Drosophila melanogaster: one gene and its partner. The protein of the gene in region 2 interacts with the protein of the main gene of each other region in a pairwise test. Each region holds a gene or a part of one and is shown on either strand. Other genes may lie near its edges.

Region 1 (4,670 bases), on a different chromosome or scaffold from region 2:
CATATCTAATATACAACACATAACAATATATTAAAATATATATGAATATTTTAAGTAAAGTAACACGATTTGATGTAGCACATTTAACTGATTGAAGATAAGCTTTACGTATTTTAAATCAACGAATAAAGAACGGTGGCCTATAAAGAAAACTCTTATGAAGACTACATACAGCAAAGAGTTTCGAGGATATATAATTAATTTATTGTTATTATTTTAGTTCCAGTCTTTAAACATCACTTTTTGGGCCACTTTCCGTGAAAGATACTTACCCACTTGCGATCGACCTCGATTTCTTGTGAAATTGTCGCTGCGCAGGCGCAACTTCTTGGCCACGACTGTGCGAAGAATTGGAGAAAGAGAGGCGGAGAAAGACGCGGCGCAGAACTTTCTCTTTTCACAAATTCTACGCACGCAGCGACAACAAGAACAAAAACGACAAACTGATCCACAAAAACAAAAAAAAAAAAGAAAACCAAGTGCACTGATGCGTTCAATTTGAACTGGTTGTTGCTATGTTTCACTAAAATTGCAATTGAAACAATTTGAAACAATACGAATTTGTTGTTTTGCGGGCTGGATTAAAAAATTGAATAAAAATCCGAACTTTTTGCTCGGCTTAAGCTAGGTGTGACCAAGTGCAGGGACAGGCCAAAATACCATGGATCTAAATTTTAGTACGTTGTATATCTACAATACTCTTTAGTTCACAAACGATGTATGGCAAATGTAAAATGTATAAAATATAATGCAAGTATATAAACATCAGTTATAGTTATTGTATTAAAATACACACATATAAAATCAAATCCAATAATCCAAATAATTTAATCTATAACCAAAAGAACCCATTTAAAAATGAAATATTTTTATTGATATTTGTGTTTTTTTTTTGCTGCTTAAATATAACATAGTTGCATATTTAGCATGGCTTACATGTATAAACAAAATTTTTGTTCTCGATAATTTGACACGTTATTTGAGCTTTTAAAAAATACTTAGCCTATGATTATAGTTAAAATAAAAATCAAATTCATTGAGTTTACCAACTAAAATTGTTATGAGAATTTGTTAGCGGCCGGCGTGTCATGAATAATTTCTTCATCGATTTTCAAATACACTAGTAATGTATAAAATATTAATGCAAGTATTTGACATTCTTTTAAATCTTCTCCGATAATCATGAGCACACCCGCCTTGCGTCGTTGTAATACTTTTCATTGGGATTAATAATAAATAGATGAGGCAAAAAAAAAAAAACGCATTCGATTTAGTGCGCTGAGTTTCCGGAACCAGCTCCGGACTTAAGATGAGTGTAGTTGCTGGTCTGGAGCGGTGGCCACTTAGTTGTTCTTCTTCTTGGGCTTCTTCGGATTGCGGGAGCGCGACTTGGCCTTGCAGAGCGGACAGATGGGCGCGTTCCGGTGGATCTGCTGGTGGCAGGACAGACAGGACTTCATGGGCGGCGGCTGCTGGCGGAGATTCACATTGAAGTCGGAGCGGAACGAGGGATGGTGGCCGATGCCGATCGAAGGCGATTGCTGCAGTCGATTGCTGGGCGGCGGCGGTGGCGGTGGTGCTGAGAAGTCACCCTTGCCCAGACGCACTGCAGCAGCAGCGGCGGCGGCAGCAGCACTGCCTGCTCCCGGCGGTGCGGGTGGCATGAAGGCGTGTCCAGGATTGCCGCCACCACCGCCTCCGCCGCCCACAGATCCTCCGCCACCGCCTGCAGCGCCGCCACCACCAACGCCGCCCTGTCCGCCGCCAGAAGGCAGCGCGGTGACCGTGGCCTCCGGCATCAGAGGATGCCGGGCATGCGGACGGGCCAACGACGAGTTCTGATTAACCGAGGCCGCCGCCGCAGCTGCAGCAGCTGCTGCTGCCGCCGACTGGGCGGCCACCTTAAGGAAGTTGGTCTGGAAGCGATCCTTCGAAATGGGACTGCCCTCCTCCTCGTGCAGATCTCGCAGCGGGCTTAGTCCGAGATAGTCGCGGCGCATGTGATCAATCTGGTACTTCAGGGCCAGGTACTCCTCGTACACCCGGTTGGCCATGTCGAAGGAGCGGGTCTGGTTCTCCTTCGTCTGCTTGATGATGTTCTCCATGTCGTTGATGTCCGCGTGGATCTGGCGCAGCTCTTCCACGTGCGACATCTTCTCCTCGAGCAGGTGCTCCATCTCCTTGCGGTACTCCTCCAGGCACTTCTCCTCGTCGTCGCTCAGCTTCACCTCCTTGATGATCCGCACTTTGAGCTTCTCCAGCGACAGCGTCTTGTCCCTGATGTCCTTGATGGCCTCCAGTTTGGCGTAGTAGTGCCGCTCATTGGAGCTCGAGATCTCGCTGGTGGCCATTGTAGATCCAAAACGATCCGTGTGGTATAATATGTGTATTTTCGAAAGACTCTCGAGTGTTTTCTGTATGGCCCCCTCCACTGGGCGAATGTTTATTTTGCACTTTTTCACTAGCCTAATAGTTCGATGTCGGATTTTCCGGCCGATTCTTAAGCATCTGATATGGATGATCGCGTCTTTTGGGATAATCCTTTGGAATGGCGCACTTTTAATTGATTTTTTCTTTATTTATTTGATTTTTTCTCTGCTAATGCTAATACCATTTTTTTCTGGTATACAATGCAGTGTTACCAGAGCGTGGAAGTAATTTTTACATTTAATCACGACCAGCCGATTATTTGCTATCGATAGCTGGCAGTGCGGTATATATCGTTTTTTAAATAGAAAACAAATTCCTTCCAATTCCAATTCCTTATACGTACAAATTTACTTAAATGATTACACTATAGTTAAAGTGCTTTACTGATTTTACCGTGGGCGCTGCTTTAAAATTTAAAAATCCGGTAAATTCCAGTTGCTGTGGCAAAAAACTTAAATCTGGCATTCATGCCGAGATAATATTCAGTTAACTATTGATATAAAATGTTTCAGTTATATGGAAAGAACGTTAGTATTAAAATTTACATTATTACATATAACTAAAATTAATAACTTGTATCCTAGCTACTAGTTTAGTAACTAGTTTTGCCGGCATTCGCTGTCTTTCCGCCAACGGTCACACTAGGCGCGCCCCGTTATATTACATTATGCATTTGTATTCTTCGATCGGTCGCAGATCGTTCGGATCGGAAAATCCGGTTCGGAAAGCGGGCATTGGGGACAAAAACAAAGAATCTTGTTCTGGTCATGACTTTTCCATCCGCGAATTGTCAACTTCTGTTTAGCGAATAGTTGTTGTTCCCTTTTGGAGACAACAACAAAAAAAGACATCGATCGCGCGAGAGAGAGAGACAGATGCAAACAATGCGTACGCGCGCGTATGTGTGTGTGAAACATTCCGCAAGTGATTCATTCCGCAAGAATAATAAATAAATAAACAAATATTAGTAAACTGGGCCGAAATGTTTGTGGAAATGTGTCAACTAGTTGCGGCAGTAAAATATCAGTGCAATATCGATATGTGTGGGAAATCAGCTTAGCAATTTAGCAGAGACTTTGCTTTTCGCCCACCGCTCTCTCCCTCTCTCTCACACTCTTTGTTTTCGTTTTTTATTGTTGTGCTCTGGTTGTGTTTGTGTGTGTTGTGAATATAAAACGAAGTTAAGTTGACCACGCAGAAACTGCATACGAAATTTTTAACAAGGAAAAAGCGAAAGGTAAAAGCGATTTTTATTATTTTTATTTGAAAGCCGCAGTTTCTTTGCGATCTCTTTTTCTGCGGGCTTCGATTTTCAATGGTCTCTTCTCTCTTCAATGCGTTCTAATCAATCCGTGTTTACATACGGGCTGTGTGTCTGTGTTAGTTGGCTGATAATTTTTAGTGACAGCTATGTGCCAAATAATAGTAATATCTACAATAAATCAAATATAAATAATGCGAAATACGGCAATATTGATAACATTGTGAATTTTAATCATTATACTTTGAAATGTTTAAAAACATTTCGTTAGTATATGTTTATATATTTGTATTATATTTTAATTTAGTGTTTTTGCCACCTATGCGTTTTATGCAATATAATGATATTTTTTCCTAAATTTATAAAACCACTATGGCTGTGTACACATTTGTATGTATGATAATTTTTGACACACATATATTTCGCTTCTAACTGCTTATCGCTCCCATTTAGCGATAGACTGTGCGAGCGGGACAGGTGTCACCTGTTGCGCTTCTTCGCTCCATCTCTCCACCGCTCTTCCCTCTCTCTCTCTCTCTTTCCATCGTTTGACACATTTTGTTGCTGTTCTTAATTGTTTGGCAATTAAGTCAATTATAAACATATTAAGACAGCCGACACACATTCTCCGATTGGATGCGCTTTTCCCTTTGACTTTCGCAGAAGAATCAATAACCAAATTAATCGATCAATCCAGGCGATAAGTCCGAAAATTGGGCTAAATAAATAAAAGCCTCTCAAGATCTTTTAGTTATGGTAATAAATAAAGTACACTATGCATAAGTTCGTTGGGGTACGTGAAATACAACAAACTCGTGAGTTGACAAATATTTGGATTTTTAGAGCCTAATGTATCTATGATCCGTAAACATTATGATTACTAAAAGATAATGTTAGCTGCTCACTCTATGTGCATTATATTTATATTAAATGGGAAGAGCTGTAATCTATCATCTCTTACTTATTTTAATAGCTTTTT
Region 2 (4,064 bases):
GATTGCCGCCCAGCTCGCGGACAGCATCCCGCATGGCAGCAAAATCCACGACGGCGGGAACGCCAGTAAAGTCCTGAAAGCAGGGAATATCTTAAGAAGTCACATACAAACATAATCTATGTGATGCAATAATCCACACCTGCAATATAACACGAGCTGGCTTGAAGGAGACTTCCACATCGCTGGTTTCCTGCTTCAGCGATGGAGTCCATCCCAGGATGCTCTGCACATCCTTCTCCAGCACATGAAAGTTGTCACAGTTGCGCACCGCTGATTCCAGCAGAACGCGAATGGAAAAGGGCAGTGACTCTGTGGGGGGTTAATAATATTCATAAAGATAACAACAATAATGATAACGAACAACAATAACGATTACCAACCATATTTGCTGTCGATGGAGGGCAGATCAAAATACTTGTAGACGTTGCCGTCCTGGGTGAATGACTCCTGGAACTGGGCAAAGGGATTGGCGCCTGCAAGGAAGACAGGATTAGCGTACAGATCAAATACTCCTTTTTCCAATTAAATCCCACCGGAGCCGGACATTGTGGAAAAATTAAACAGAAAACCAAGCAATGTGATATAGAGATGAGCGCGTGAGGAACCGCTACCAGGCAAAACTTGCTCATCACTAACGCAAACATTATATTATCGATAACTGAACATGAAAACAAACCGGTACACAGTAAAAAATATTTATTTATTACTTAAAATGAAACATTTGTAAATTATAGTGGAATAATTTATCATTTTTGTGATTCGAAAATAATATTGGATATAATATTGGATTGATTGCTTTTTTATTTTAGTTCAAAATAAGGTATTTAAAATAACTTGTTTGCATGTCTTTAAACGCTTTTCCCTTCCTACATGCTAATTTCGTTAAATAAACTTAAATATTAATTATGTTTTCTGCGGTTTATTGCAATAGTTACATGGTAGGCTTATTGTAATGTCACGTAGTATAATTGGTATTTGTAATCTATATAAATAATATGTATAGGGGATTATCATCTAAAGCTGCGTCGGGATGCAAAGCCTGTTTTATGGCGCAAGCAATTTGGCAGCGGGGATAACAAGTCTGTGATGGACGTCTACAGGTAGATTCGTCGCAGGTCCTTCGGCGTGGTAATCGAGTTGCACTGCGGGCACAGCTTTCGCGCGCCGAGCGTCTGCAACCAACACTGCTCGCAGTGGACGTGCCAGCAGGACACGGAGATGGCGGGATTCTTGTAGTCGTCGATGCAGATCAGGCACTTGTACTTGCCCTGCGCCTGCTTTTCGTAGAGCCGCAGCTTGGCCTTCAGCGATTCGATGATCTGCTGCTGGTTTTGGGAGGTGGATCGCGTGGACCGCGACGTAGACGGCTCCTCGCTGGCTGGTGGAGCCTCCACGTTGCTTGTGCTGGCAGGCTCTTGCTCGGTGGCTTCGCTGGAATGGTTTGGCTTGGGCCCATCGCTGGAGGAGATAAGTCGGCGCACGTAGCTGGTAACATCCGCCTCGGAAACATTTCCCTCTGTGTCCTCGTTGACCAGTGGGATCACATCGCCCTCGCCATACTGCGTAGGACCATAGATGTGAGTGTCATCCTCGTCCACGTTGAGATCTTCGTCCTCGTCGTCCTGCGCCTGCTGACTGCCATTGTATTTGATTCTCTGGCCCAGGCCCAGGGCGGAATAGCCTCCTTGCACGAGAGTGGAGACGCGAATGCGCTTCTGTCCCGCCCACTCGTACTCTTCATATTCCTCGCTGTCCTCCGAGTCCTCACTCGAATGCCGCTCACCATTGGCCTGACCATTGCGGCGGCTCTGGCGCAGGCAATGATTAACATGCTCTTGGATGTTGGACTGCGGAAAGTTGTGGTTGCACACGGGACAGGTGGGTTGGCTCGATTCGGCAGCAGCTACGGACGGAGTTGCTGCAGCTGGAGGAGGAGCAGCTGCTACCGTAGGATTTACAGTTGCTGGTGGGGCAGGAGAAGCCGGACGCTTCCTGGTGCGCTGGCGCTGACGGGCCTGCCGATTGCGCTGCACCCGCTGGAACACGCTCCACGGTTGTCTGCCCCCCGATACCGAACCGGATTCCTCGGACGCGGTTGCTCCGCTAGTTGGGGTCGGTGGAGTGACAGCGCTAATGGGATTGTGCAATCGCTCCATCTCCACTTGGCAGTGATCGGCCACCTGACTGCGCTTGATCTTCACGTCGCATGTGGGACAGATCACGTCGTCGTCGCTGTTTCTGCTCAAGTGCTGGGCGAAGTTCTCGCCGTTGGACACCGTGTCCGTAGCCATCGATTCCTCGGATCCACCGCGGACTCTTAAGGGTAAACGAAGTTAAAAGATTCTGTAGTCGGATTTTGTTTTGTTCGATAATCTCTGTCCAAGCCACGCGACGCCGATTTCTTACGTTCTCGTACGGTGGAAAACGGTCACACTGATTTCGTTATTTTTCGTGTCAGTGGAAGTGGTCATTGCGATATACATCGTAAAACCGTTACAAAAGCGCCAAGCACAGTGATTAATATGCTTAAGCAATAATTAAAATTTTATTCACTTAAAAATATCTTTATAATAATTGATTATTTGTTTGAATTCCGTGTTAATTAAAACTTCAAAGTTTGCATTTTGCATTCCAACAACTCTTTTGACCTTAAGTCTTACAATAAAATAATTAAACGTACTGATTTCTTAATTTTTACTCTACTCTGGTTGGTCTTAATACAGCAATATATATATATTATCAGATTGCGTTGTTTACATGCCCGATATAACATGTGACAGATAGTGTCTCTCCCTCACTGTTAGGAAATTTTTATAAAGCACAGCCCCCGCTTTGATAAAAGTTTAAACATCCGAAATGTAAGCTATTTTAATTTCCTTTCTTCGTTAAATTAAATAATTTGACGGTAAATGTAAATTAACTGATAGTTCCATGGCACTTTATCGCTATCGAGAAATGCCCAGCCAAAACGATAGTATCGAGACAACATCGATTTAAGTTCCAGCTCTATGAGGGAAGCAAAACATTATTATTTTCGTCGTTTTTATTTTTTGATTATATAGAAAAGTCAGTGGTCGAGGAACATGTGAAAGTGGAAAAGCGACAGAGCTTTTCAAGCAGAGTGTAAGTGCATACAGGTTGAACCCAAAACCGACGCATATTTTTGCGAAAGTGCAAAGCAGACGGCGAGAGTGTGAAAAGGCAGCGAAAAGAGAATAGAGAAAAAATATAGCAGCCAGTTTCTCCTGGGCGTGAGTGTGTGTGCGTGTGCCATATTGTTAAATAAGGCAAATATAGTAAAATAAACGTAGAAAAAACAGCAACAACTATGCATCAGCAGTACCAGCAGCAGCAACAACAACAGCAGCAGGGTAACCTTGTTGGCTACAACAACAAAATGAACGTCTTGCCCAATTACACGCTCAGCGGAATGAGCTCCTTTGATGCCGAATCGCTGCCAGATTATTCAGAATTTGATTCCGAATCGGTAACCCTGGACTATTACAAGGAAAGGTATATTCCTGAACTCAAACAGATCGCATTTTGTTTTGCTTCCGTTCTTCCGCATAGCACACAACACACACACACACATATATAAACATACGTGTATACGAATTCCCTCGCCCTTGCCATTGTTGTTGTTTTGCATTTGGCCGTTTGCCCCAATTTTGCCTGCCGTTACCGTTACGTTCTATATAGCAATTAACCGTTATGATCCTGTTGCCATGCCACTCATTCACACACACACACTCACACACACAAAGTCGGTACTCGCTCATCTGCGAAATGTGTTTTTGTTTTTATTCCACATTTCTAGCCGCTATATGTAAAACTATATTTATCTCCGTCTAGCCCGTCGAAATATCTTGAGATACATTAGACGCAACATCTACTTACACAAACATATGCATCTTTGTTTGCGTATCTGAAGATATTAAAATTGGCAGGGAATCGTGCGAATTAGGCATAATATGCAGTTTTAACGAAATTTTGATACACTTCCTATTTGTTAGCAACTATTGAGCAAGATCGATAATAAGAAGACTCTGTTTTATAATATTTGT

What was found. The genes of interacting proteins can lie anywhere in the genome.
Region 1: the proteins of RNF220 (region 2) and CG13001 interact in a two-hybrid assay, tested with the Drosophila melanogaster proteins (2 studies listed by BioGRID).

What each region holds. Positions count from the first base shown.
Region 1 is NC_004354.4:16,940,232-16,944,901, forward strand, and holds CG13001 (uncharacterized protein), read right to left. Parts: upstream 2,641-4,670; 5' UTR 2,352-2,640; coding exon 1,344-2,351; 3' UTR 855-1,343; downstream 1-854.
Region 2 is NT_033777.3:22,723,979-22,728,042, forward strand, and holds RNF220 (ring finger protein 220), read right to left. Parts: upstream 2,437-4,064; 5' UTR 2,292-2,436; coding exon 1,095-2,291; 3' UTR 906-1,094; downstream 1-905. Other genes in the region: Irp-1A (iron regulatory protein 1A), read right to left, coding at 1-73, 140-309, 381-473, 534-546; CG45049 (uncharacterized protein), read left to right, coding at 3,329-3,513.